4 linked regions of the Drosophila melanogaster genome follow. The gene in region 1 interacts genetically with each later gene. Each region holds a gene or a part of one and is shown in the gene's direction. Other genes may lie near its edges. The genes, in order: kermit, jar, fy and mwh.

The links.
Region 2: of kermit (region 1) and jar, changing one suppresses a phenotype caused by changing the other (phenotypic suppression), as found in Drosophila melanogaster (2 studies listed by BioGRID).
Region 3: of kermit (region 1) and fy, changing one enhances a phenotype caused by changing the other (phenotypic enhancement), as found in Drosophila melanogaster (one study listed by BioGRID).
Region 4: of kermit (region 1) and mwh, changing one enhances a phenotype caused by changing the other (phenotypic enhancement), as found in Drosophila melanogaster (one study listed by BioGRID).

What each region holds. Positions count from the first base shown.
Region 1 is NT_033778.4:8,151,959-8,159,513, reverse strand, and holds the start of kermit (kermit), read left to right. Parts: upstream 1-2,859; 5' UTR 2,860-3,100; exon of another isoform or gene 3,101-3,459; intron 3,460-7,555.
Region 2 is NT_033777.3:24,266,220-24,274,105, reverse strand, and holds the start of jar (jaguar), read left to right. Parts: upstream 1-2,872; 5' UTR 2,873-3,207; intron 3,208-7,886. Other genes in the region: Orct2 (organic cation transporter 2), read right to left, coding at 1-676. UniProt on the Drosophila melanogaster protein: Myosin is a protein that binds to actin and has ATPase activity that is activated by actin. Together CLIP-190 and jar may coordinate the interaction between the actin and microtubule cytoskeleton.
Region 3 is NT_033779.5:8,399,392-8,406,457, reverse strand, and holds fy (fuzzy), read left to right. Parts: upstream 1-3,177; 5' UTR 3,178-3,376; coding exon 3,377-3,454; intron 3,455-3,512; coding exon 3,513-4,627; intron 4,628-4,686; coding exon 4,687-4,744; 3' UTR 4,745-4,980; downstream 4,981-7,066. Other genes in the region: emb (embargoed), read right to left, coding at 1-82, 172-542, 679-2,170; CG31898 (uncharacterized protein), read right to left, coding at 4,981-5,982; CG13386 (uncharacterized protein), read right to left, coding at 6,486-7,012. UniProt on the Drosophila melanogaster protein: Plays a role in the organization of cell polarity via a planar cell polarity (PCP) cascade. Involved in the development of the hairs on the wings.
Region 4 is NT_037436.4:1,197,176-1,205,053, forward strand, and holds the start of mwh (multiple wing hairs), read left to right. Parts: upstream 1-3,610; 5' UTR 3,611-4,140; intron 4,141-4,695; exon of another isoform or gene 4,696-4,738; coding exon of another isoform or gene 4,739-5,622; intron 5,623-5,706; coding exon of another isoform or gene 5,707-5,791; exon of another isoform or gene 5,792-5,861; intron 5,862-6,140; exon of another isoform or gene 6,141-6,227; coding exon of another isoform or gene 6,228-7,111; intron 7,112-7,379; coding exon of another isoform or gene 7,380-7,464; exon of another isoform or gene 7,465-7,620; intron 7,621-7,878. Other genes in the region: Aplip1 (APPL-interacting protein 1), read left to right, coding at 1-138, 334-1,055, 1,124-1,311, 1,380-1,452; meep, read right to left, coding at 4,739-5,622, 5,707-5,791; CG9119 (uncharacterized protein), read right to left, coding at 6,228-7,111, 7,380-7,464.

The sequences.
Region 1 (7,555 bases):
GCCGCTCATCCGGTTTATACATTTTAATAAAAATTTTCTTAGATTATTATTTTAGAAGGACTATTTTCAAATACATCATAATAAAGATAAAGTAAATGCAGTAATGGGAATGGTCAGATGTCAGTTCTTTAAAAAAATTAGTTGATTCAATTCCATGCTAAGTTGGGAGATAATCGATTAGCCAAAGGCTCGGAATTTTAAAATCCTAAACTGATCCTTTGGATTCGTAGGAGATTCCAGTCACCACATGGATATGCTTTTTCGGAAGTTGCATTTTAATAAATAACTAATTTTAAACATTAAAACTGCACTGCACGCACATACAAGACAACATTGCGTATACGTGATTATGAGTTACATTTTTAGGATCAGTACGTAGAAAGCAAATATTTTGAGGGGATTTATGTTTCAAAACATAGGATTGTGTTTTAATGCAATATGAATGATTATTAAACTGTAACATAATAAAACTAATATTCTATTTATAATAATTATATTATGCTTGCATTTTGTACATTGAGTTTCAAGGAAAATGGATTTCGTAATCAATTAGTAAACTAATATATTTCCAATAATTATATTATTAAATTATATTTCATTTGTATAGTTCGCAGCAAAATGGCCTATTGCACCTTTTGACCTTTTTGCACCTTCGGGCGTAAGTTTCTATCTTGCGATTACTGAATTTCGTATTAATAAGACATCTTTGGTCGAAATGATATGCAATTTGAATGCGATTAAAGATCTATTCCTGACATGAGACCAATAATAATGCCCATTAGCTAAATGAGCACATTGATGTCTCTATACATTTGTTTTTTAGAAAACTGTGTTCTGAATGCTCACTGAGTACTTTCGTACGCTCTCAGGGTGCGCTTCGTCACTACGTGAACGGGCGTCTACATCGATTAGATGATAAGTGAGGAAGACTGGAATGCCTAGATCGACTTGGCTAGTTATCCGGCTAAAAGCAAAAAATGAAGAGTGGCCCATGAGGGGATCGAACCCGCGACCTTCGCGTTATTAGCACGACGCTCTAACCAACTGAGCTAATGGGCCTTCGTGAGAGCGGCGTTCTGGGTTATCAATTTGGATTGGGGGTGCTTCTCTAAACACTCATATCGCTACTTATTTAAAGTCCGAATAAAGTGGATGTTATCTATGTATATACTGATTACCTTTTTGTATTCCAGCCTATTGGGTTATAAACAAATAGAAATATGTGTGAATATAAAATATAAAACAATTCGATTACAATTTTCAATTTCTTGGAAAGCGTGTTGCATGTTTTTTTATTCTTATCAGCAAAAAAGAAATGTAATAAGAAAGCCTGCTGAGACCACTTATTGCAATATCAGTCTTCGGCAAGTAGTCTTCTGAATCGGACAATGGAGTGCCACTAGACCATAGGAGTGCTTCTCCTGAGCTGGTTGGTTTGTGGCCACGCCTGTTATTATCCAAAACGATGTTTGGCCAACGATGGGAGTGCACCAAACCGGCGATTGGCATCGACCGACTAATGTATTCTGTGGACCCACTTAAGTGTGTTGTGAAATAAGGGCTCAAGTAAGTGAAATAAGAGCTCAAGTAAGTGCACTACAGGTTCACAGAGTTTGTACGCAGCTTGTATCCATTCTACCCCTACTACACCAGATGGAGAATCCGTCCCTGTCCTCGTTCTTTGGAGGAGGTTCCCTGATTGCCCCTGAGGTTGTACTAACGGCAGCCCACCTGTTGTTGTCTATACCTGGAGTCTACATTTGCATTTAAAAATGACATACAGCCCATCTGCTTACCTCTTCAAGGGTCGTCCATTGAGCAGACACACTGTGTGATTTCCGGATGGGGAAAGCGTTCTTTTAACGACTCTCAAATGTCGAGTATACAAAAGCAAATCGAGTTACCCATAGTAAACAAAGGAGATTGCCAGAATATGTTGAGGAAAACCAGGTTTCAGCTTGCCACCAGTCTCATATGTGTCAGCGGACAGAAGGACAAGGATGTCTGCGTTGGTGACGGTGGGTCCATCTTGGTTTGTTCCCCTGACGCAATCTTCGCTAGATATCACCAGGTCGGGATCGTGGCCTGGGGCGTCGATTGCGGCAGGCCAAACGTTTCCTCGACCTTCAAAAATGTGTCCATGTTCAGGAAGTGGATTGATCGCAACTTTCCAAGCAACTCGGTGGAACCGCTTAGGAACTGTATTCCTATCCACCCAAGAATTTCGTCCTATAAAATGAGATACATGTTGCTTTAAATCACCAAACTTAGCTAATGTAATTACATATATTGTATCAAATATATGTATTTATGAAATTAAATTATCAAACGGAGTCGATTTTAACCACCTGCTGAACTTCAGGTTAAATTATTTTTAAATTGAAGCTTAAGTCTTGGGTATAAATATTTATCAACTAAATTGTTATTTTTTGGTCGAGGAATGTCATAATATTGGGTGCAAGAGTTTTTTCTCTTAGACTACCATTCTGCTGATTGAAAGTATAATATATATCATTAGTCAAATGCAGTATGAGATATTTACCCCAGGAAATAAGCACATTTGTTTGATTTGTTCTTGTGTTCATTTCATTTCTTCATTTTCATTACAGTGACCTTATTAAGATTTTAATTTTTTATCCGTCTACAATTAGTCTTATTGTTGCTGGTTTTATATTTTCTTAACCAAAATAGTGGAGGCTAGTCAATGCTATACAAACTTGTCACGAAAACTTAAGTTCCTTTAAATCTGGTAAGTGCACCTTAACCGCCAAAATTTCAAACTCACCGAAAATGTTAAGCCACAAGTACTCAATAGGCCGATTGTCAGCATCGATGGCGGCATCGATGTTTCCCCACCGCGAACAGAGTGGCTGGCCACACTGGCGCTCAGCTGGCGCTCAGCTGGCGCAGTTGTTGTTATTCTTGCATTTCTACAGCGCGAGGTCCGAATTTTCGAGCGCAGCGCGGCCACAATTTTCCGGGCGTTAGTTAACCGAGACGACTAGTTTAATTAGCGGAATTGTGCGACGACGTCGTGGTTGAAATTCAATTTGAACGCCCAGGCGGTAGATCGGTAAAATCGCGACATCAAAGCACGAGAGTGAGTGAAAAGAGAACCCTGGAAAGTGGTCAATGTGTGTGTATTTGGCGAGCAGTGGCGGAGCACTGAAAAAACCAGTTAGCTGGCAGTGAAAGAGATTCAATAACGTGTTGGTGGGCAAAAGAAGAACAAATTGTTTCGAGTGTGCGAGGCGACGACGACGACATCCAACTGGTCCGGTACGAAGAAGTCCGCTTTCCTCGCTCATTAGCGGCGCTTTCCTCGGGCCCACGATCTGGAAGTCTGGAAATCGGCGATACCTAAAACCGGGCCATAGCCACCACTATCATTATCAACAAATTGATATACATATGCAATTGCAGCAGCGCGTCATCAGCACAGCGCCCATCGCCTAGCAGGTGCGTTCCGTACCGTCCGTCACTTTCGACATTATATTGGTCTGATCGGGTTTCTCTCTCTCTCTGGTGCGTGGTATCTTCTATGTATATACTATAACTATGCATACTATATATGCTCCGTAACAACACACTGCATTGTCTTTCGGGAATTGTTAACACCCCGCCCCGGTGGTGGAGCATCTTTGGCATCCATTCAGTCGGTTGCCCATTCATTTGCCTAACAGACTCTTTTCTGCGCCAACCGACGAACAAGTAAAGTGAAAGGCGGCGGCACGCGTTTTCCCATCTTTTGTATTGAATTTCGCTTCGGCAGCGAGGAAAGCGAAATCGTTCTTAGTCATCAGGACGTGTGGTGAGAGGAGGAGGGTGGGCCAAATCAACATGCAACCGCCTGGCAACAGGCAATGCGTCACAAAAAAACAAGGAATTTCAATTTCCAAGCTGGGATTACTAGTTAACTAAAGCAGACTGTAGTGCAGGGGAAGGTGGTGTTACCGGGGTAGAAATTGAAGGAAATCAAAGGCGATCGATAAAATAATAATATCGATAAACAACATTTGATGAGACGAAAGAAAAGATTCGTGGTTCAAGTTGTTTTACTTTCAGCCAGGCATTTTTAAAAACTTGGATGCATTTAAAACCGGCAAGACAGGCCAAAACGCTGTTGACCCACGGACCTTATCGATTTTTGCAGCTGCTGGGCGGCTAATCATTGGTTTTGTGGCGTGACAAGTGTTTCGGCACCACACCCACTGTCTGTATGTCAGAGGAAAAAAGCGTAAGCGGAAGTGATTTCATAGACCGAAACTCACCCCGAAAACTGAAACGCTGAAAGGGGCATTTCCGTGCTTTGTGGCCATTGCCTGCCCCAAGTCGCTAGTTCATTTTCCGCTATTATGTTGAGGTTAGGACTTTCCAAATCCATGTGATTTCCCAGGGTGCCGGCTTCTGTGCGTCGTCGCAAAAATATGCTGCACTTCGGGGGTGCAAACAGCATGCTTTTCGTTTTCGTTGAAGTTTCACGGCCGAATTGATTTTTCCAGCCTAGACATTACAAAATGCCTCGCCGAAGTGGCGATAATAAAGCGCCTTTTCAGTTTTGCAGCCAGCACGCACATCGGGGCATTTATTACCGCTTTTCCGTTTTCCCTCTTACAAAACTGTGAAGTTAATGCGGCCAGCACGTGGGTCTACGCACTGAGTTTTCCGTTCCTCAGTTTTCATCTGGCCAAGCACTTCTCAGCTGGCCGCCGAAAAGAAAGGGGCAACGAAAGACGCAACCATGACCAAAGAAACTCAAAACTCCAAACTTGAGCAATTTGTAGGCAAATTAAGGTGTTAACTAACCGTGAAGTTGGTCAGTGGGAAACCCATCGAAGATGCTCTAGCTTAAAGCTCATACAGAGCAATAAACAAGTGTTTCTTTGAAGATCTTCGATCTGCTCTTATAATCTTAGATAAGAAACTAGCAAAGTTGAACTTAACTGAGGCAGATAAGTATCTCTAGGTTTAACGAGTTATGATTTCTGGCATATTTCTCGCTGTGTATTTTCGGCAGACGAGCAGCTCGGAAATTGTTTGATCGATTCGATTCCTTCGTCCGCTTCCGCTCCGCCGCTATCGGCTGTTGCCTTTTACCCGCCCATTCGCCACTTGCTAACAGTTGTTTTCGTACGTGAGCAGCGCTCGGATAGGCAGATACTCCCCGTCAGATACACAAGATAGCTTCCTCTTCTGCCTGGATGCGATGCACTGTGTCCGCTCCGCGCTCTCCGTTCTCCAGCTCACCAAGCGGAAGCAACTCCATTTATGTAAATTGCTTGCGTGACATTTCAATGCGACGGGGCGCTTTATGAAAAGCTGGAGCGGCATGGTCCGAGCGGGATGAGCGGTGGCTGGGAATAATGGGTTGAAGAATCGTGGGTCTGGTCTGGTCTGGTAGCTAGGGCTGCCACGGGCTGCTCCGTCATGCCAACAGTTGGCAATCAGTTTAACTGTGCTTTTTATGGCCGTACTTTGCGCTTTTTATGCGCACTCATTGCCGCACATGTGCAATATTACTGCACTAACGTTTTTGCAATCAGTATCAGATGTACTCGGAACTGGTGTGAATGAATCTGCATGTTTTCCATCTGCGTGATGTTTCTACTCCGCTTTAATTATCCACAGTTCCTCAGTCGTTTCATATCATTAATACATGATTGGGCACAGCGATCAATCTTTTTGCACACTAAATACTTGTCTTTGCCTACAATCAGAAGTAATAGAAAGATCGGATTTTATTGTTTATCAGATACAAAAACTGGCGCTTATGTACATATATCTACAATTATTGTTTTTTTTTGCCACTTCCAGTTTTAATTATCCCGAATTTCCGCTCCGATTTCATCACCCGTAATTTGTGAACTGATGAAAACAATACAGCCTTCGGATTAACATATTTTGGAGAAACGTTACAAAGAGATAAAATTCATATTTGAGTTTAGATTGTCGGGCGGCGTAAACTTGGCCCAAAACAAACATTGCCACGGCTTTTCGGCTATAATTCGTTTGCTTAATTTGCTTTTTCGAGCTCGCAGTTCAGCGAGGTGAAACGGTTAAATGTTTTCAAAACTGCCCCAATGTTTTCCCTTCGCCATACGTAGATACTTAGATACATATGTATATACATACTTGACGTTGCGTGTGGTGCTCATTGTTGTTTGGCTGTGCATTATGCTAACTAGACCCTAATGTCGGTGCCCGGGTGTTTTGAGTGCTCCACATTAGTAGTTTTTGTGGAATATGCCCCATAAAGGGCCATTCGATATGTTTCAGCCAGGGCTGCGAGTTCATTGCACTGGATCATCGAATCGTGGAGCAACGACTCTGGTTCGGGACCATGCCAAATGCAAAATGTCAGCAATTTATGAATAATGTAGTGAGAAACACAGGAATCGCAGAAAACGTGATCGGAAAATGCCACAAAAACAGTGCATAAATAATACCAACATATAATTGGGCAGGGCGAAGCGACATTTAAGCTTTCGCTTCGCCCACAGTCCATCTGAATTATCTGTGGAAATAGCAAATTGGATACTTGTTTATATTAGCAGTGGGTCGGGTCTTCGTTCGCCAACTACAATCTTCGGTTTGTTTGTAATTTAGACTAACCGCTCGATGTCACTGTTTATTTATGCATTAGCATCACGACACAGGGAGATATTTTTATATATTGTCTTTCTAAGGTTTCAAGCTCGAATAAGCGATTATTACCTACAACACTGATTAAAATGTCATAAATATAAAGGCAAAACTTAAGTGATTTATATTAGTATACATAATATATGAATGTCAAAACTGATGGCTGTTCCACTGGAAATCAATAGAAATGGGGAAAGTAAATCTCTCTTCGAATACGCCAGATATTATTACATATTCATTTTATAATTATATTATAAATTTTGCATTTTTCTTAACCAAACGGACAACAATAAAGTTTAAACTGGATTAATAAAACGAACAGCTTTAAACTGAAATTTCAGTTTGAATATGTTTAACCTATGCTGAGTATTTTTCCAGTGCAGCGTTTTCTTCGATTTCATTAGATATGGCAAGCTCAATTTTCTGCTTGTCTCAGTGCCTTTGCCCACAAAATGTTGACTTTTCGAATTAAGTTTCACCGTTAGCAAAGATCATGCGGTCTTTCGCTGGATTCTCGCCTTTCGGCAGCGCTGCCGGCGATTTTCGCATTGAGTCGAAAAAATTGACCTAGTCAACGAAATGGAGATCTCCCCAACTGATAACTAGTTTGAAGAGCTTTTGCAAGCTTTACAAAAGCTTTTGCGCTCTCTTTGCAAAGAGAAAATGCTCTTAAAAATCAAAACTATTTTCTCTTGCGCTCTCTGCACCTCTAGTTTTGGCATTGGAATACACTACTTTTGGTTTTGTGGATACTACAAACAAACATTGAAAATAACTATAACCAACCTTTGGGTTCCCAAGGTTTACGAACAATCAAAACCTATACTTTGGGGATGACTGTTGAGCACAGATGTACGAAGTGGAATGGCGATGGGTACTTAAATCAAGGTTCACCTCTAGTTGAGGGCTCACC
Region 2 (7,886 bases), on another chromosome or scaffold:
AGAACATCATGACGAAGATGCCGGCGTAAAGGCGCTTGTCCGGACCCACCATTTCCATGGCCACCACATAGGCCACGAGGAAAACTCCGGAAGTGGTGGCTCCCACCATCAGCCTGGCGAACGTGTAGGTGAAATATTCCGGAGCCACTCCAGCCAGAACACCGAACAGCACCTGGATGACCAGTGAGGCGAAGAGGATGGGTTTTCTTCCGTACTTATCGCTCAGTTGACCAAACACAATGCTGCCCAGAAGCACGCCCAGCATGAAGAGCGAATCACTGGTAGCTGCCATGAAATCCCTGCCACAAACCAGGTTCCACTCGGTCACCGCACTATTGAGGTACTTGCTCCGATCGTAAACGTAGCTGGAACAGGTCTTGGTTTCGTTGCTGCTCCGTGGAATGCTGCCATTCAGGTACTCCTCCGTGTAATCCACATCGTAGTAGGAGCACCTTTCATTCTCCGGATACGATAGGTTCCACAGGTGGGTGGGCAAGTCGTAGCTACTTCCATTCTCGAAGGGCAGGGCGCACCGGAAGTCCGGTTTGGCCAGCAGGAACACCCCGGCCAGCTTGTGGAAGGCAACTGGTATGGATGTTAGGCAGATGAGAAAGTAGATGATCTTCTGATAGCGTCCAAAATCACCCAGATGGATGATGGCCTCATCGTAGCCCATGGCTAAACTGCACACTCAACACTTTTGTCCAGAGTCCACGAATCTAAATATTAGATTCCGTTCGCGCAACTGACTTCGTCGAGTGGCGCCGGTATAATAAAACACCAAATCGGAAACGCTATGCTTTTTTGGCACAATCTCGTGATGTCGACGCACTCGCAAGTTTCCGAGAAATAGAGTGGACTCTCTGCTCCGTTGTGACGTGTACTTTGCTCCCTAGAGAGAGGGAGAGCGAGAATTCTCCGTCTCGGTTCCGGCAATTATCGGCCAACACGTGTTGCCCAAATATGTTGGCCAGGGAGAGGAAGTGAAACCGCGGTGGAAAAACAAGGGCACTTCGCGAAAGAAACCGGCAACCCGCTATCTAGATGCGTCACCTCAGGCCAACGAAACCGAACTGACTATCCAAACCAAACCAAGACCAAACCGAAGCCAAAAACAATAGCTCATGCCAACCGACAGGGACAACAGCAAAGGCGGCTATATATCCGACCCTCTCTGGTGCTCGGATATATCCGACTGTTTATGTTATATGCGAAAAGAAGAACGGCAAACAAACGCCGGCTGCATGCGCACTCTCAGTGGAATCGATATGGAATCGGGAGAGCGGGTCTCTAATACCAAGATAGCAATACCCAGATACAACCACTTCAGGCGGACGAGGAGAAGGTGGAGATATGACTAACATGGTACGGAGCCACCCCTAGTCGTTTTTGGTAGCAAATTACACCGATCCCCGGCCACTTACGGGGAAAGCCTCTACCAATTTCCATTTGCACAGCCGCTTGCAGCCAGGTAAGCCAGGTAAGTGGAAACTCGAATGCCTCATCCGATGGCAGTCGTTTGTCAATCAGGCGATCACGATCACTCAGACCTACGCGCTCTCTTTCACTTCCAATTGAGCTGCGCTGCGACAGACAGACAATTAAGCGGGTATTGCAAAAATACAAAGAAATGGTCGCAGTTGAGTCTAGCGACTAAGAGATACCCATTCTTGTTCGTTGAGATACCAGTTTTCATCAGCTAAAAGAACTTAGTTTCATTAGAAAATTATATCTTATAGTTAAGCAAGTACACCAAGTAACTTCAACTTTGAAATCTAGTATTACAAAGTTAGAAGGGTTCAACCATACTTACTTATAACTTATAACTTACTATAGTTAGTAAAACACAATATACCCCTGCGACAATTAATAAAGACGCTCCTGATTGAGCTCAATTAATAAGCGGGGCGCTGACCCATTATGAGAGCGAAAAATCAAAGACGGAAAATCGTACGATACAATGGCTCCTATTTCACACTCGTTTCTCGTTCATTCGCTAGTGTTATTTATCTAAATATTTGCAACAAAGGCTGGCGGAATATTTGATCCCCAGAATGCATCCAGGTGGTGGTGGTAGCTGGTAAAGTTAAGGACAGGAAAATAATTAGTCACCTCACTTTTTATTCATTAAACAACCCCTCTTGGAACTTTTACAAAGAGTACGGGCGGTATGTGGGAACCAATTGTCCTGCTCCACGTCACTAAACTTAAAATATATAGGGAACAAGAATATGAGAACGCACCGTTGTGCAGCCATCGAAATCTATATTTTGAAAAGTTGCCAAATCTTCTTGCTTTGCTGAAATAATTATAGTATAGTACTGAGAACTGAGTACAACACTATCCAACATTCTGACGGATAAACCACTGCGACTGTGGACCAGTCGTGATGCAGGTGTTGCAGAAGAGTGAACCACTCGATAACACCGCATTCTTAACCCATTCCATTCAAACTTGGCCATTTTCGTTTGCATCTTTCATAATTAAACTTAAAAACAGCACGATCAGCGGTGAATCTTTTTGAAGAGTATACTGTTTATATATACTGATATGCGGTGCATCTTAAATTACCATATTCCAAGCTTTAAGTTTAGAACTGGCTACACAAATAGGATAAGTAAAAACTACTGCATCTACGAAAATGAGTATCTTAAAAACCCATCTAACCATTATGGATTTGAAAAGTAACGCATATTTAAAATTAGCGCCAAAACTAATCTCTGGTCACACTGCAGGGCAGATTTTGCGCCCTAACTATCGGCAGCGGTGGTGGCACCTCTAGCGGTCAGCTGTTTTGCGCGTGCTTGTTGTTGTTTCGGTGCCGTTGCTTTTCGAAGTCGAAAATCCAAAAGTGGATTGTTGTGGATTTGATTTCAGTTCGACTCGACTCTCCAACGCGACGGTACGCGATTCGAGACGCTCGTGCTGGTCGCCTTCCGATCGCCGCTTGAATCTTAAATCTAAACTGTTAAAACCGAGGCAAACAAACACAACACCCAGCTGAAAATACTTCAAGTGTTACAAACTTTTGGAAATAGTGTATCGTGGCTATAAATTGCAAGTTCTAAATTCGAACCAAACAAAATCCACGCAGGAGATCGATTCCAAGTGGATTGCGCCTTCATCAATGTGTTCGTGTGCGTCCCCGGAAACATAATCCCCATTTGCCAGTAACTTACGCACGTACAGATTTCCAGCCGTCTTAAGGTAAGTGGCCAATATCTCTCTGGAGGAATAGGGGTAAGGGGATAACCGCCTGACAGCGAGTGGTGGTCACCTGTGAAGGCGGATTTGCTGCCTTTTGCTTTCTGTTGACTTGCGCTTTTCGCCTTTCCGCCTGACATTGGCACATTCTTGTCCACGAAAATTGGTTACCTATGTACAATATGCCAGTGTTGCAAACAAGAAATCGATTAGCAATCGCGGAAGTGACTGCACCCTACATATGAGTACTTTCAACTGGGAATCGTTTTTTGCACATAAACTAAACCAAAGTACAATTAATCATTACATTTTATTAATTTCTATACCAAGTAGTTACATAGAATTTAGCTCTTTTCTGGCTTTGGTAAACTTATTCTAACCATGACTCATATTTGTTTTGTTTGCCCTCCAATATTATTAGTTCTCTATAGAACAGGAGGTTCAAACAGAAAACGTGACCGTAAATCGAACAAAAGGAGTGCGCAGTCGCAACAGCAAATGTCACCACCATTCCTGCAATTCCCACAGCTGTCCTCCTACCACGCATCCTCATCCACATCCCGCACCCACAACCATGCACCCTATTCCATGTGTCCATATGTGTGTGTATGTACATAATTCTATTTATAGACAGGGGCCCATGTCAACGTCGTCAGTTCACAGTTGTTGTTGTTGTGTTTTTAAAGCAAACTCAAAGATAGTTTTGTGTCCCGACCATTTTAATTGAGTGCGGAAATGAGCAAACATTTCTTGGAGCCACACCCCCCTCCCTTCCCTGTCAACCAGGGACACAAGTGTCGTTCTCCCCGATCGACTGACTGGCCGTCTGATTTCCCATTCGAGGCACATTTCGTTTATTTATGTGGAAAATAGGGGCAGAGTAGGAGCTGGAGGAGCAGGGATGTGGACGCCGCTCCTGCGCATGCGTGTCCATGTTTGCAGACGTGCCCAACCTATTCTGAACACTTTAAAGCCAATTAAACGGGTTCGTCGATACCCTTTCATGTGGCCAGGGTATCTATATTTCTCTGGGGGGGTGAGGAATGTTGTCCTTGTTCACGGGAATCGGTGGCTAGAAACAAACAAGAATGTTTATATGGGTGCTAAAACTAACTTACCTATTTGCATTTCCCTTTAACCAAGACATTTTACTTTATAATAAATATTTGATGGATTTATTGAGGTATCACTGTATCATTTCACCTAATATTCGCACAAGGGTGTCGCGCATATAATTCCATATAATTCGAGATCCTTTGCGGTGCACTGGAGGAAGTCCTGTTGTTGTCCCTGTGCTGGCTGTCACTCAAGCCCCGTTCAACCCCCTTTCAAACCGACGTGACCTCCCCCTCGCCGGGTGGCAAGCAATTCCCAACACGCGCCACACAGCTGACAGGATCGCAGGATCACAATCCTGATCTCCATTGCCGTCCATTGTCAGCGCCGACAGCTGCCTATATGAATTATATGGAACCTTCGACGGGTTATACAGATATGTAGCCCAAAGTTTCTCGAATGGAGGCAAACCAATCTTTTTGGAGTGGCCAGCAGTTGGGCTCGAGATGCGTTAGACCAATTTGCATATAATACAAAAAGAGAAACACTGAAACGGCCGACGATTGTTCAAAGATTCGCAGTGAAAGTCAGCCAGAGTGTGTGGTTTAATTGCAGCTTTTGTTTTGATAGTCGATTAGCATAATTCCAGTTGTATTTTGCTTCTATCGTGGCATCGTTGATGGATTTTTTATGTACATGCCCCTCTTGTTTTATTCATGTACATTAGTTTTTTTTGGTTTGTCCAACGCAACACGTGCTTATAAAATATTGGATCAATATATGCAATGAAAGTTCCGTTTCAGTTTCCTGTTCAAAAATATATCAACGGTGATTCAAACTATATATTCGGAATACAGTTGTAAATATGATAAGATAGCACTCATTTTTAAACACTAAATAAATAAATTATTTCAAGCTTAAACTTCAACCACTTAACTAATGTGAATCATGTATGATGATAATGATACGACCATTTTTATAGTTACAGTAACATTTAAATTCATAATCCATAATCCCATAATCTGCAACTTTTTTGTCAAAAAATTTTACTTTCGTTTGATTAATGACTGTCAGTCTATTTATAACTTTTCAATCGTTAAACAATCATTTAAAACAAAGGGACTGAAAATAGATTTGCATAGCTATAGTTTTCGATGGGAAAGAGGCTCGACTTTCTGCAATTTGCTAGTTGTGTGGCCAATAAATTTGGTTATATTATTCTCATTACAACGAAACTGAATTATATTTACCTGCTATTTATTTTTCTGCCTAGCGTCAAACGGGTAATTGTGCTGGGGAACTGAGATAAGATTAAGTGTGAAACGATAACACATATTTGGGAACACCACACACAGGCCGCCCAAAAAAACAAAGGCTGGCTAACACAAAGCCCCCAATGTGACCCAAAATAAACGAAGTGATCCATGCTTTTTTCCCCCATGCTCACATATCCGCCAAGTGCAAAGTAACGACTTGCAGGTCCACACCATATGGAAAATCTGTGAACATGTGTCGTGGAAAATGAGTTATAGGGTCGTCACACAAATCCATCAACGTCTGTAAAATGACTTGGTTAATGGCAATGGCAATGGGAATGGAAATGGGATTCGGATCTGGGTCTGGGTCTGGATGTGGGATAGCCAGCGGTTAGCATTTGCATTTTAATTGCATCTCCGAATTGTAGGAAACGAGCAGCGTTAATTGCCGTTTGGCTCACAGGAAAAAAAAAAAACGCTTTTCAATTGTCGGTAGTTTTCCGGCTTTTTCGGATTTCTTTTGACTGGTCCGCATTAATTGGTTCCACTTGCTCGACGTTTAACTATCGACAGTCATTTCTTCGCCTTACATAATCCCCCTTCTCTACGCTTCATCTTTTTTTTTTAACAATTCCAAGTCGTTGAACCCGCACTGCAACTGAAAGCACTCGACTCGGCATTTGTGGGGCATATGAAAAACTTTAAACTAAACTAAAATACGAAAAAAAAAATTAAAAACAAAATCGGACAGGGATGGCAAAAATAACAGAGAAAGATTGAAAAACAAAACGCTACGAAAAACTTGTTTCGGTTGTGACTTTTGCGCATGCTCAGCGTTTTGCTTGCCAACGCTTTACGGTACAGTGAACTCTGGCCCCGTCACCGTTGCGTTTCCCGCTTTCGGTTAAGCGAAGCAAACTCTTGTTCCTGTGACGTTCGGGCCATAAATTTTACAGCTGCAACTTCTATTGTTGCAAGTGTAATTGCTTTTCGACCAATTTTCCCCCCACATTTTTTTTTTTTTGTTTTTTTTTGGGCTATTCGGATGGGCCAAGTTGGACCATTTAGCCCGAGTGACTCATCACTCTGAACCCATTTGGTAGTGGCTACTGGCAGCTGCAAAATCTGTGGCTAAAACAAGTTCAACTGGTTGCCCAGCGGATGGCTTCTAAATCCGTGCAGTCGCTACAGTTAGGGAAAGGCAGCTACTTAAATCGGGAATAATATGGAGTGTCTATCGAGATGATATTCAATTTCCATTATCATCTTCAGAATGTGGGTAATAATATATAGATACTTTTTATTATGTATATTCACATATGTCTGGGTCACCTTTGCACTTGATTGGGGTCACCTATTTACCATCACATCAGCTTACCCCCTTTTTATGTTGACTTCTGATTAAACTTCTTTTTAAACTTATTGAATAAAGTTAGTAAATTTTTGATCAGTGCACTGTTGACTTTTGTAGCCCCCGCGCTGCACAATCGCGATGCCGAATACGAACCTGAACCTGTCGCACCGTTAGCGCGTCCCTGTGCCTCCATCCTCGCGGACCCGGTTCCCGGGCTCCTGGATCACGTGAGCAGCCCGCCTTGACTGGTTGAACTTGATATTGATATCGGAAGATGGTCAAGGAACTGGCCGGAATGGCGAACGCAACTGGTTTTTGGGCTCATAGGAGATCGGTTCTGGCTGAACAATGCCAATCTGGCCAACAATGTCCATTGGATTCCGATGAAATGCTCATCCACACAAAACTGAACGATTCGCTAACGGGCTGCGAGTTGAGCTTCTTTCTCAGCGCTTTTGGCCTCAAATTGCCTCCAGTTGTTCATGGGTTGTAACCCAGGAAAGTGTCGCAATTATTACACAATTTTCGTGGTTTCGCCGTCTCGTTTTGACTTTGCTTTAATTTTCCTTTGTGTCTGAGATGTTTTGGTTTTCCACCGTTGTAGAATGGCATACGAGCTGTTTTTTTTTTCGTTATGAAATGATGGCAATTGTTTCGCTTGCAATATTATTTTTTGCTCTTCTCGTTTTCCTACTCTTTGTTTCGGGTTTTGTTTATACCGGGAAGTGGCACAAATATGCTATTCCAAAAGGGCTCTCAAAAGAAATGGGTCACCGAGCAGAGCCAGTCAGAAAATATGGTAATGGGTTAGATAACAAAAGCGTTTCTCAACTTTGTATGCCAACTGCAAGAAAATCCATAAACTGAGATGGGTTTAAATTGATAGAGATTCAATAAAATCAAATCATATGGGGTTACAAATTGAAATTTTCTCATAACATTTAATTGCCAACGCTTTGCTTCAGTTTTCCCCAATTATTTATAATTTTCCTCACAAGTTTCCTCATCCAAATCAA
Region 3 (7,066 bases), on another chromosome or scaffold:
ACCTCTCGATGAGGACGTCCTGTTGTACCTGATCCACCTGGGCGGAGATCATGTAGCCGACAGCTTCATAGAACGTGTGAACCTACAAATGAATTTATACATTAGTATAGCTTTTACTGATTAAGCTTCAAATGTAGGTATAATAATATTGTAATTAAAAAAAGCCACTACCTGCTGCGGCTGCAGATCACAAATGATGCTGCTCATTGTTGTGAGAATCTCGTCAATAAAGGTGCATGCCTCATTCGGCTGGATGGTGACAAAGTAGCGGCGGCATTTGATGGCTATCTTGATGAACGTATCGCATGCCATATCCTGGACACCATCGTGCGTTTCGTGCATAAATTCGAAGAGTTTGTTTACCACCGTCTTGAGGAACTTCCAATGGGCGCGCAGGAAGCGTGGATACTGTCCCACCACATACATGATATTGGAGGCAATAATGGCCTTGTTGTCCTTGCCCTTCTTCTGTTCGCACAGGCCTAATAGATCCTTGATCACGGTGACCAGGAACCGTTTTTCGTCCTCTTCACAAAAAGCACCTGAAGAGTGATAAAAGCACAAAAAAAAATAGGGTTATACTCGGAAATAATGGTGGTCCATGATAATCAGGAATGAATGTTTGTGATTTATAAAAACCAAGTACAGACTGGGAATAAAACACCAAAAATGGCTCACCGGATATGGAACCAATGGCCCAGCACAACGTGTTCAGGTTCTTCCAAGAGAATTCCGATCCGTTCACCTGATTAAGCAGCTTTAGCGTCATGATGCGGTCCGTGTCCACAGAGTCCAAATGGGTAAGAAAGACCAGCGTTTCGCGCATGTTCTTGTACAGGTTTATTGAGTTTGTGTCCTTCATGAACTCGCGCACCACTTCCCCGTTTTCGTTCTCCACCACCAGCACCTCCTCCGGCTTGGCCATGCGCGAGATCATAATGAATCGCACTTTGGACAGGATGGGGGCGTAGAAACGTCGACGGGGATACACTTGTTGCCTCTTTGTAGACTCCAGGGTGGGGTGGAAGAATTCCGAATTGTATAGATCCTCCACAAGGCTGTTCCAGTATTCCAGACAGATCTTGAATACTTCCACGTCCTCCACCTCGCTAATCATCACCAAATACATGAGCGCCTGATTCAGGTAGTCCACATACTTGGCATCCTCCACCAGTTTGCCGTGCTCCTTGAGGAAGGTGCACAGGAACATGGCCAAATTAAGGACCAGCTCCTGCTCTGTGTCGGAACCATGCTTAAACACATGGTTCATGTTCATATTCTGGCCGACTATCTGTTCCAACTGAACCATCGTGTCCTTGAAGAGCGTCGCGAAATTCTCGTCGTAGTTTGCCGCAGTCAGGCCGGCGATCTCGGACAGACACTTCAGGGTCACATTGCGGAACATGGGTACGCTAAGGAATTTGAATATCAGCGTTTCAATTTGCTGCGTTTCAAAGATGTAGCCCAGCGGTATCCAGTTAAGGAACCTCAGCAGAGTCTCCAGCGTGACATGGATTAGGGCGGCATTCATCGAGTTCTCCAGCACGAAGGAGCATAGTGTAAAGATCTGAGAGAACTCCGAGCACATGGTGTCTTTCAGGTGCTTGGCCTTAGTCTGCGTGATCTGACCCTGCGAAAAGTCGAACACCTCCTCACTAAGGTTCTTCAGGATTACCATGTTGTTCATGCACAGGCTCTCGTTCGTTTTCGACGCACCGACAATGTCACTGATGAATGTCTCCCAGTTGCGTGGCCATTCGCGCTTTAGAATGTGGACCAGAATCATGTTTAGCTTATTCAGATACACTTTGTTCTGCTCCATAACAATGGGATCCGACGAGGTCTTGATGATAAGACTGACCACATACTTCTTGATTCCCTCGCACTGGTTGCGCGGCAGGACCTTCCAGCGCGTTTTGATGACCTCCTCGAGGATTTGCAGAGCATAAAACTTGGTCCGCTGGTTCTGTGAGTACTCCAATATGCTGTCCACCCGCGTCCATGCCTCTGGATGCTCCTTCAGCGTGGTCAGTATGCTCTGGGCTAGACGCAACTGCTCGCCCTGCGCTGTGTACACAACCTCGACGATCTTGTCCAGCAGATTAATGTCCAGCTTCTGGGAGAAGTCGAGCAGCTTGCCCGCCTCGTCCGATGTCAACATTGTCGCCATCGCTTTGTAGTAGAAGCGGCGTTCGCGTCGGCGTCGCTCTGCAGTTGTGTCCGCGTTAATTTTGATAGCTTCTTGGCTTCCTCCTCCGCCGGATGAGCTCGGATCTCACGTTTTTTCCCTTTGGATTTCTTGTTTTTGCTGTTTTTTTTTTCCACTTTATTTATCGAAAGTGCGCGGCGGCTTCTGCTTCAGCTTCTTCTTCTTCGCACTATGATGACGGTGAGGAGCGGCGACTCTCGATCTGGATCGGGATCTGGATCTGGTGCCGGGACTGGACCTGAAGCTGTGGAAATAAGACCGTTGGTTATACATATTGCGTACTTTTACGCCTGTCGACAGGCAACCATATTTCTTTTTTGTTTTCTTGTTTCATTTTTTTGGAACACACAACTACAAGCGCACGCTGTTGCCTGCGCGCGCTACACTTTTTCGCACTCGCACACATACAAGCGCTCGGCACACCACACATACGCACACACTGGCACAGGCGAACGCATCGCCGCCGCAAATGCGACAAGACTGCGGCGGCATTTCCCAAATTTTCTTAGCTTTTCAAAACGCGCCAGCGAGGACGCAGTGTGTAATTAATTAACAATCATGAACATGTAATTCACATATCAAGCTTACCTTTTACCGATTCCAGAAAAGAGCAGCGTGTGAAAACGACGACGACGGACAATGCGAAATGCAATTTGTGAGAACAGTGTGCCCGTATGGTGCTGAACAAACATACGTCCACAGCCCTGGTCTACAGGCATGCACGCAAAGTGATCGATAACGTTGATCGAATAAAATAATCAAATGGCATGGATGAAGATGCTTAGTTTGTTGGCTTACTTACTGCCAGAAACATCGATGTCCCTGATATCGAAAAACATCGATGTTTTAAGCAGCGATGTTTTAAAAAAAAATACAAAAAAATATTATCTGTTTAATTTAATGGAAAAACAAACCAGTATGCATGCATGCATAAATTGACATAAATATATTTGAATTTGATCTGTTCTCCTGAATCAGCTACAAAATACTGCATCTTACTGATTTATTACATTAAAACACTAAAAGTATGCAAGTAATTCAGATAAAAGTTTAAAATAAATCATATTAATTTACTAGTGCATCGCTTATTTTCGATAATTCAAAACGAATCGATTTAATCGATGTAAGCATCATACGTAGCAGGTTCGGCGAAGAAGAAGAGCTGCGATGTCCATCTATTTGTTATGTTTGACAACAAACGGCGGATTGCCAGTGTTTACACGAAAGAAGGGAGAATGCGAAAATGTAAGAGTAACATATTGCCTACCTATTCACTTAGTTAATACCCTTTCTCCATATCCAGCTGCCCTTCTCGACGGTGGCCTCCTTAAACGGCTTTCACATGTTCTTTAAGTCGCTGGGAATCCAACTGGAGGCCACGACGACCAGCAAACAGCAGCCTATCCAGAATCAGGCTCCCGCGGATGCCGAGGAGTGGACTTACATATGGCGCGACCGGGAATCCATCACCCTGATCGTGTGCGGCTGCGGTGTTGGGTCGGAGCAACTGCTTCAGACGCTGGCTGATCTTGTCTTTGGAGCGATAGGCATGTTCATTACCCGGGCCGCAGAAATGGCACATGCAACGCTCCTCGATAGACTGAAGAAGGACGCCAAGAAGTATGTCCCGATTGTTGACGCTATTCTGGAAGCCGCCTGTGCGGGTACACAACTCCTGGGCTACACGGACTGTCTGCTGGCGGCGGAAAACGCCCAGCTGCTGCAGTGTCTAAATGAATTTAGTGGCCACTGTGGCTCGCTCTTTTGCTGCCTGGTTGTGGGACACCGTATCGCTGTGGCCACTGAGGGCTGGTGGGATCTGGACACTCGGGACCGCGAGCTGCTGCTGTTTCTGTTGAATTCGTCGAGCACAATGCAACACGATGTGCCGGTCTATTTGCCCGTGAAAAGTCCCCATATAGCCTACCGCTTTGTCAGTATTCCTGTGGCGTCGAACAGTGCTCTGTGTGTCCTGTGTGGCGCTGAGAATGCCTCGTTCCGAGAGTTGCATGCACATGCCATGAGTGCCTACCGGAATGAAGGCAACCTTTTGGCAGCCGCCGAGCGATGCGTGCCGCGCAGTCTGCCCGAGCATCTGGAGATCGATGGAAATGTGCTGGCCATCATTCTAATTAACCGACACACGCGAAAAAGTCTCTTTACCAGAAATCTAAACCAGTCGGCGAGTGTCAAGCGCATCATTGTGGGCGATCTACAGCGCTTGGACATTCTAAAGAAGTTTTTCGATCAAACTATGGATGCAGTCCACCAATTTGAAACCCAGTCGTCCAGCAATAAAACTACGTTAGTGGACCAATATAGCTGCTCGGACTACCACAAGTGCTATGCCCATATGGATGAGCTGGGCAATGTCATATTCTTGTTGTTTGTGGCAGCGGTGCCCTCGCACGCAATGAGGTGCGATTATAATTATTTACTTTGATGACAAGGTTTTAAAATCAGTATTGTATTTACAGATTCCTTGCGCAACGCATCCATGCTAATATACTCCAGGAGAAGTCAGTATGTTGGTGATACGATATTTCTTTCTAAGCCTAAAGACTGATTTTTGTTACTACTTTTCCATGAAATAATGTTTTTTTTTAAATGACATTATATTTAACGAACAATAGGGTACAACTCCTTTTCTAAAGTTAAGCGTAATTTTTGACAAATCTTATATGTATATGCTACATACTAATATGGCTTTAATGACTTACAATTCCGTCCTTACAAATACTATTTATATATTTTAAATATACAATATGTCCTTATCCTTTTATTACAACATTGTATGGGCGACAATAGACCAGTTGTTTCTTGTTTAGCTCTAAGGGCTTTATCCTTGGATCCAGAAAAAATTGTACTATAGATCCAACTGTAAGTTGTGTGGTTTCTCCTTTTGGAGGAAGAATATTGAAACTACGTCCATTATCGGAAGCCACTAGGGCAATGGTAACACCATACTGGTTTGTAACAGACAAAATTTTAGCCGTGTGAGTGGCTGCATGGTTTTTAAGTTGACGCTGATCCATTCTTACTTTTTTGAGGACTTTACGGAACTCCTCAGCATAGCCTCCTTTAACACAGCGAGGGTTTGCCTTCAAATTGACTCTATTTTGGCTACTTGGCAGATACTGCCTAGGACTTTCACTAGGAACAAGTTGAATAGCTGGAGAAGATTCGGTATAGCTATCCTCGGTCAATCCAGAGCAGTTAGATTTATTCAGCGAGCTTTGACTTAACGATTTCCAAGAAGTTTGGAATGAAGACGTTGGCAATCGTTGAGGAGTAGGTGGATCAGAGTCAATGTTCTCTGACGACCCGTTGCAGGAAGCGGTTTGGTTAATTAATGATTTCCAAGAACTTTGGAATAAAGAGCTTGTCTCACGTCCTTCATATGAAACTGAGGGAGGAGTTCTTGGGGAAATCTGGATAGCAAGGGGCAATGCTTTTGCTCTTCGTCTCGTTCCTGGCCAACTGGTGTTCAGAAGCTGGGAACATGATGAGAAACTGGAGTTTCCTAGAGAATCGGGTTGACTGCTGCTGCTGCCGGACTTGTTTAGCGTCTGCCACATTGTCTGAAACCTGGAAGGAGTGTTCTTTTGATGATTTGATGTGGATTCCGCCAAAAAACTCCTTTGATTCGCTTTTGGAATATTAAAGTCCGTTGGTGTAAACAGCCGCTTTTTCTTTGGACCATTGCCATCCGGGCTGTTCTCCTGCTGATCGGATTCATCCAAAAGGAATCTAAGCCTACGCTTGGAGCCCATATTTCTATAGAAGAACTACATTATATTTATATTTATTTAGCCGCGAATGGAAGCCAGTGTAACCACACCAAAGGGACTGGGTATAAAAAGTAATCGAATAATCGATAAGCAGAGCGAAAAATTATTGGTGCCAATAATATTTTTCAAAATTTGAAAGGCAACTTCAATAATATTTATTATGTCATAAGACTTGGCGAACTATAATCCTTTATTAATTGATAAATTTATTTCTATAATATTGTATAAAATAACTAACAATGGTTTTTCCTTTTAAAATAAATTCTATACGAACTGCGTATAGAGATATGCATTTTTTTTTTACATTTTTTCAATTAACGCTTTGCTGGTCAATGATTTGTTTTTATAGCGATTACGTTTTCATGAATGATTAAACGATAATGAAACTGACCACAACAAAGTCTTATCACGGATTGTTACTTGTCGATAGAGATTCATTGAAGGCAACCGCCTATTTTCCATTTCTTTTGTTATGAATGGCATATTTATAAAGTGTATTTATGGGCTTTCCTCGCCAGCGGATTTCGGCCTGCTGCTCGTCGTTTACGTTTGCCAACGATGGTTCCCAGCCCCGAAACAGTGCCCAACTGGAGGAGCAGAGGATTGCTGACCAGGGCAGCGGCGATACCAAGAACTGCAGCACTGGCCAACGGGATGAGAAAGCTTTTGGCCAGCAGTGCTTTGGAGGACACGTCGCCGTAGCCGGGACCCTTGTGCGCGGCTATCTCGTGGTGATCCAGAGGATACGGATACGCATATTCGGGCGGTGAATAATGGCCATGTCCAACAGCGTGACCCGGTCGCGATCCATACACATCGAAGGGAATACCAGCCTCTACACTAGAACTGCCGAAAAAGGCGCCACTTGCAGCTCCGCCTGCTAGACCAGCTCCTCCTATTCCACCTCCTCCGCTGCCGTGGGAGTACTCGTAGGGATACGGGTGGGAATTGCTTTCAAAGCTGCCCACATTCGGTGCATGCGATGCCTCTACTCCTGCGGCTCCATAAGGACCTTTTTTTTGTTGAAAAATTAATTAGTTGTAGAATTTAAACTATTCTTCTGGTT
Region 4 (7,878 bases), on another chromosome or scaffold:
TCCTGGGCATGGACACCAGTGGATTGGGTGGCAATAGTGCACCTGTGACCATTGGAGCCAGCACAGATCTGCTGGCACCCAATACAGCTGCCACGCGACGTCGTCGCAAGTTGCCGGAAATACCGAAAAACAAGAAATGTAAGTTTATTGAAAACTTAGTTCCTGGCTAGAGTATCCTGCATGCAAGTAGTTTCAGGGGCTATGCCGGTTTTCAAAACTAGTATTTGGTTTTCCACAACACATCTATTCGTCATATCCTATTTTGGGAGCCGGATAGTCCTTCTTAACATCCCTTCGTAGTTTCGGGCTAACCCACTCATGGCCTCGTTGCAGCTTCCATTCTGCATCTTCTAGGTGGCTCCAACTTTGGCTCCCTGGCGGATGAGTTCCGCAACGGTGGTGGTGGAGGAATCCCTCCAGCAGTTCGCAGTGGACAACAGCGCTCATTTCTGTCCCTCAAATGCGGCTACTTGATGGACGAGGACTCCAGTCCGGATTCGGAAAGGATGCAGAGTCTGGGCGACGTGGACAGTGGTCACAGCACGGCGCATTCGCCCAACGACTTTAAGAGCATGTCGCCGCAGATCACGTCTCCCGTTTCGCAGTCCCCCTTTCCGCCTCCCTTTGGGGGCGTGCCCTTTGGCCAGCTGGAGATGCTGGAGGCCACTCACCGTGGTCTGCACAAGTTTGTGCCGCGGCACCACGACGAGATCGAGCTGGAGATCGGCGACGCCATCTACGTGCAAAAGGAGGCCGAGGACCTGTGGTGCGAGGGTGTGAATCTCCGCACCGGAAGGCAGGGCATCTTCCCCTCGGCCTACGCCGTGGACCTGGACTACAACGAGTTCGATCCCACAGTGCAGCTGGTGAAGAAGGAGCGCTATCTGCTGGGCTACCTCGGATCCGTGGAGACGCTGGCGCACAAGGGCACCGGAGTCGTTTGCCAGGCGGTGCGCAAGATTGTCGGGGAGTACGGCAACTCACCGACCGGACAGACGTGCATCCTGGAGGTTTCCGACCAGGGACTTCGCATGGTGGATCGATCGGGCCCGAATGTGAGTAGGATACATACATATATACATCTTCATTAATAACCGATATAAAAACCGATTTCGTGAAACAGCAAAACAAAAAGGACAAGAAACCTTGCATCGACTACTTCTACTCCCTGAAGAACGTCTCCTTCTGCGCATTTCACCCTCGCGATCACCGCTTCATTGGCTTCATCACCAAACATCCCACGGTTCAGCGGTTCGCCTGCCACGTCTTCAAGGGCTCGGAGTCGACCAGACCGGTGGCCGAGGCAGTGGGGTGAGTCCTCAAGCAGTCATCCCCCCAAAACAAACGCTCGAATAACATGTTAACACTCCTTCTTTCAGCCGTGCTTTCCAGCGATTCTATCAGAAATTCATTGAAACCGCTTATCCCATCGAGGACATCTACATTGAGTAGGCTTGCAAGGCGGTTTGTGCATTAATCAATACGATATATTTTTTGTGCGGTTATTACGAATAAAAGCAAAGATAAGTCTCAAGAATATTTGCTCTTCTTCAAAGAGAATCTCAAAGCAAAATCAATAAGCTCGCAATAGAAACCCTAGCTATAGATTATTATCATTTATCCGTTTTGAACAAATGTGCAAGATCTTAGACATGTAAATAGTTAGTTAACTTTCGTTCAAAATCCCCACTTCACACTCACACTCACACTGAGCTTCAAGCAATCAGCAATAGTTGCCCCCTCTATAGGAACCGCCTTTAAACTCGAGTTCACTGGATATATGGACAGAAGCAAAAGAACACCTTGAACACCTTGAATTTTGTATCGGGAGTCAGTTGGGTCAGTTGGGTCTATTGTAAATCGGAGATAAGCAATTTGGATTGGTTATAGATATCCAGACCCTCCTGTAACCACATCCTTAACCTGGCAATGCACAAAATAGAGTGAGGCCAAAGTAATTTAGCGATCTTCGTGTAACCTTAGTTTAGTTATGCCAATCTTTCAGTTACCAGAGACTCAACAATATCGAACACCAGCTGCTACGTTTTGAAGTATTCTCAATTAAAGCCCAGTATAAGATGTGTAAACCTTTAAAGTTGTGTACACGCAGGCGAATATATACTGTATATGTATACAAAAGAAATATATAAAGAACCTATAAATCAAACTATATTGGATTATTGGGTGCTCAAGGAAGAAAGGTGAGTTTTATTAGTAAGAGAATGTAAGCCCTTTCATCTTATATTGTAGAACTTACCCAAAAGTATGCACTTAAGCTCAATTTATAGCAAGTTGATAGAATCCCGAAATGATGGTAGATAATATTTAGCAGCCTAAAAGATAACTTATAATTTGTAAAGTAAATTATTTTACACATAAAACATGTGAGTTTATCTCTCGCGGGAAATGAATTGGTGATTTGCATAAAATTACACGACAAGACAAGATAATACTAATCGGCTATATGAAGGCAATGGCCAATTGCAGTTTAGTTTTAAGATTAACTTGTGATGACTTGTTTTGAGCGGGCCATGGAATGGAATGATGGCCCAGAAGTTCCCATTCGGATTCCACATTAGTTTTATTTCACCGCACATTTACCAATGCGGATCTACGCCGGAAAAAGAAACAATCGCACATTAATGAAAACGCCCAGGGAGTGGAGAATAAATGGCCGAGCCATTAAAATGGCGATACATCAGTTAGCCTGGGGGCATCAATCATTATGCAATTTTCGCGAAGCCGGCCAGCAGCTTTGGGCCACTTTCTTCGGAGGTGGTTCAGTGAACGGGTTGTGGCGGTGGGCCTGGTCGGATCTGCCTTTGGGCAAAGTGCTCTAACAGGAGCAGCGACTAAGACTAACTAGTTCGTGTCGCTTTTAATGGAAATGGATACCCGAAGTAGCCTTGGCAGCGACTTTGGCTGGGTTTCGGTGTGGGAACTGGTTTCGGGGTTGGGAAAATCGCGCGGCACTCGCTTGATGCACTTGTCGACGTGCCCGGCCTCTTAACTCTATCGCAAATGTGGCCAATTAGAGATTAAACGACAATTTCAATTTAAAAACGCTTGTAAAACAGACCAGCCGAAAAGCCAACCTGATTTTCCTGAGCTGCCAGTGGCGGCAATGGACTTGTCAAACCGATTCGATATCTAGAGGGGATTGCCGATGCGTTTTAGCAGTCTCTAAATCAGTCAGTAATAAAAAAAATTGAGCTTCTGATTATTCTAGTACATTTTTAAATTCTCTATATCGTAAATTATAAAAGTACTATGCTATGTTCCTACTATCTATCGAATACGCATGCTATTATTCATATATATATTTTTTTTAATACTTATTTAATTAGGACACTCCCTTTATTAATTTACCTTGTGCAAACTGACAGAACTTCATTGCATAGATAGCTTCTGAAGCCGAAGCTCTCGGATAGTGACATCTTATCCAAGGGCTACCGATTCTCGAAGTGCATGAATGGATAGAACCGAAGCTCGTGGAAATCCCCCAAACAAGTTCGCTATCTACGCGCCTGAAGAGCAGCAGCTCCATGTGGAAAGCCACTCCGACCAGCAGCGGCAGTCGAGCCATCTGATCGCGGACTTCATTCAGTCTGCAACTCGCGTTTCAGCCAAGCAGACGCGGCTTAGAGCACAGTTAAAGCCAGGCCAAAACCGAAACTATAGCCAAAAGCCAAACGCGAAGCTAAAGTCGACGAGCTGGCGAAGTGAAGATCGGTAGAGTGGAGTAAATCAAACCGAGGCAGCTAATAAAAAGTGCTAATGGTGTGTTTAAAATATGAATAAACCGAGTATGCCTGAGCCACAAAAACGGTTACAACAACAACCAATGCCACAACCACAACGGTAACAATAACAAAAAGAGATTTTCTTTTTCGTGGGACGAAGAAATCGCATTTGCATTTCACCGCGCTGTTTGGTAGATTAAATTGGATCAAATCGAATCGATGGAAGTTCGGTGTTTGTTTGTGTGCTCGTCGCGGCCAAAAGTGTTGCTACTTTCATAAAAAGGTTATAAGAATCTGGAATAGTGAATAAATAAATGCAAATATTGGAGACCCGTTAAGCAGAGCCGCGGAAGAACGAACAATAGGATTTTGAGGGAGAGTCACCCGGCGTGAGTGGGTAAGTCAGTCAGTCTGTCTGTCTGTCCAAGTTCTGTGCGTCCATCTATCATGCCTTCACTACGATTTGTAACTGTCACAACAAACGGGTTGTTTTGGTTCAGCACTCCCGCCCGGCCAGTTGGGGAAATCCATAGGATCGTTTTACTGGCTGAATTCACCAATGCATTCGCTGTGTGCTCTGCATGGATCAAAGTTATTAAATAATTAATGACCAGCGGTGCAAAAAGAAAAACACAGATTGCTGCATGTTTGGGGCATTATTTACGGCCTGCTTAGCTAGACGTCCGTATCGCAGCTCTCATTAGGCCAAGCATGAAGCTCCAGAACACCCATCCCAGCCTCCCATCGCAGGTGCTATCCGGCCAGCTGGCTATACAGATCATTTAGCCATCGATTTGCATCTCGAAGAAAGCGGCTCGGTGGCTCTAATTTTTGGCAATTACATAAACCCCATGCCCTCGAGGGCCTGTTCCACAAATGATGCGGCTCCAACGAGCCATGAGCCACACTTTGGTAATCTGAGAAAACCAGACAGAAACCGAAACCATTTTCTCGAAGACGTTTATTTTTGGCAGGAACAAATGAGCAGATGAAGATCAATCTCTGCCCAACTGATCGGTCGCCACGGGTCTGTCCACACGGATCACTCTTTCGGCCACGTTCAGATAGGCCTCGTACTCCACAATGTCCGGCGTGGTGTCGTAGTGATAGTGGCCTCCCCAGTTTGCAAAGGAAAACGAGTGGAAGTGCTGCAGGCGGAGGTCCAGTCCCATGTCCTTGGTCACCAAGGTGCCCACTGCGTTTAGCTGGGCGGGCATTTCGTAGAACTTCAACCAGTTTTGGATCTGTTCCTGTGTGTGGATGGGCGTCTTGCTAAAATCTCGCATTACGTGCTGGTGGACACATCCCCTCCTGACCACGAACATTCCTCCCAAGCCCACCACCTGGTCTCCGTAGTGCCGTTCCAGACCCTTGCGAATGCATTCTACAAAGTTTTCCCCTCCAGTGCGCTGTTTTGCGGAAATTCGGAGCACTTGACCTGGTTTTCCCTCGCTGAGGAAGAGGTTCAGGATCAGAGCAGCACGAGATTCGGTTTCGGGAATCCTTTCGAGAACACAATCCTCATTCGCTCCCCTCACAGTGGCCGTGTAGCTTCCTTGAGTGAGTTCATCCTCTTCGTTTAGCGAGAAATTAAAGATCCCCTCGCAATTGGAGTGACGAATGGGCCACGGACCTGCTCCCGGTCCAACTGCAAAGATCTTTCCTGCTCCTTGGGTCCGCCGAGTGATCTCCTTCAGATTGTAGAGCTTATCTCGCTGCACCAAGGGCCGCAAATAGGGTGGCCCTCCTGCTTCTAGGAGAGTGGCCTTTCCGCCCAGTCCACGCTCCACAAGGCCAAACTGGGAGTCCCTTAAATCCGGGCAAGCTTCCACACTGACATCTACGGTCCGAAAGTTCTCATCCAGAGCACCCTGTATGACTGGAGAGCAGGTGGAAAGCTTTATTTGACGTATCCGCTAGATGAGAACTATTTTTATCAGCTATTCCACGCGGGAGTGCTCACCTCTTTTCAGTTCCGAGAGGGGCGGCACATGGAGTGGCCTCTCCTCAAAGAGCAACTGCTCCGTTTGAAGGTGACTCCCGTTCATGGTATCTCTGCAAATATTTCGGTACGGGTTCAGGGCCTTTCCTTGCTGGAGGTAAACTAGCGACTGACCGAAGCACCATCGTTTGGTAAAAATGTCTGTCATTCGAACGCCTGTCATGATAATGTTCTACTGATACAGGGCTTCCAATTTATAAAAGTATGTGGTTTTCTGGTTTGAGTTTCTATTAAATATACTATTTATAATGACCTGTTTTCAAAATAACAAAGTACTAACCTAGAGAAGTAATTTTAGATTTTGTAAATTTGGTTGGCCAGCTAGCTGATAAGCTATTTTAGTATTTGTTAAGCCTGACAGGGATTTGAGCAGATAAAAAGACTGTTTCTGTTTTCGAGCTTATGTTTTGTTTATTTACTATTATTTATTGGGGGTTGGGGCAATGGAAAAGTCGGCTACAACTAGATACGGCAGATAAGATCTAGTCGCGTCCCACTTTGTGAGTGGCCACGGGCTTATCCACCCGCACCACCCGTTCGGCTACGTTCAGGTAGGCCTCGTACTCAACGATATCCGGCGTGGTGTCGTAATGGTAGTGACCGCCCCAGTTGCTGAAGGAGAAGGAGTGGAAGTGCTGCAGGCGAAGGTCCAGGTCGTGCTCCTTGGTCACCAGCGTGCCCACGGCGTTCAGCTGGGCGGGCATCTCGTAGAACTTGAGCCACTCGTTCACCTCCTCGTCGCTGTTGATGGGCGTCTTGCTGAAGTCCCGCATCACGTGCTGGTGGGCAGCGCCCTTCTTGATCAGAAAAATGCCACCCAGACCCACCACCTTGTCCCCGTAGTGGTTCTCCAGGCCCTTGCGGATGCACTCGATGAAGTTCTGTTCGCCAGTGCGCTGCTTGGCGGTGATTTTCAACACCTGACCAGGCTTGCCCTGGCTGAGGAAGAGGTTGAGAAGCAGGGCGCACCTGGGCTCTGTGTGGGGTATCTTCTCCAGGACGCACTCCTCCTGCTCTCCCCTCACAGTGGCCGTGTAGCTGCCGTTCGTGAGCTCATCCTTCTCGTTCACGGACAAGTTGAAGATGCCCTCGCAGTTGGATCCCCGGATGGGCCAAGGTCCCGCTCCGGCGCCCACGGCGAACACCGTGCCGGGGCCCTGGATCTTTCGCGTGATCTCGGCGATGTTGTACAGCTTATCTCGCTGCACGAGGGGCAGCAGAAAGGGTGGGCCTCCCGCCTCCAGCAGCGTGGGCTTGCCGCCCAGTCCACTCTCCACCAGGCCGAACTGCTTGGCCTTCAGATCCGGACAAGGGCCCACACTGACATTCACATTGGCGAAGTTGGCCGCCAGGGCACCCTGTATAACTGTGAGAGAGGTAGGGTAACCATTAGAGCTTTATCTCGACCTCCATCTAGACGAGATATGGCAAAAGCTGAGCAAAAGCTCCACCGCCAATCATATGTTTCTGTTTCTGTTTGAGATTTGCTCAATGAAAACAGCAAACAAAAAACACAGAACGTAGAACCCACCGAAAACCGGCTGTGGAAAGTTCGGCACCGTTCTGCTGAAGGTCATTTGCACATGGCACGTATTGTTATCTGCGGGATCGCTGGGAAATCCAACTCGACTCACCGTTCTGCAACTCTGACAATGGGGGCACGTACAGCGGCTTCTCCTCGAAGAGCAGTTGCTCCGTACTCAGTTGGTTCTGGCTCATTTTGGTTGGAGATGTGTCCTAGTTACTTTGCTCCTTATTGCGATTCTGGCCTCGTTCCGATTCAGGTTTGGATTCCTTTCTCTAGCCCACCAAGTATTCTAGTCGCGCTGAGGCTACCTACCGCTCGCTAGATCGTTGCAAACACGACTGTCTGCTGAAACCAGATGGGGTCTCGTTTTTTAAAGTTGAGTGCTCGGCTCCCGGTTTGCCCTATAGTTAACATTGCTGGTACGGCCGGTCGGCACAGGGTGCATCCGCCGATAAGATAAACTCTTGTGCCGTATTTAGTTTAATTAGAGTCGAGATCGAGTTCTTAAGGTTCCTGCGGGGAGGTGGAGCGATCCATCAGCTCTCACGCTTAATGCGCATGTCAGGAAGGCGTATTTACGGTGCGGCTATTTCGTTACAGTAGCA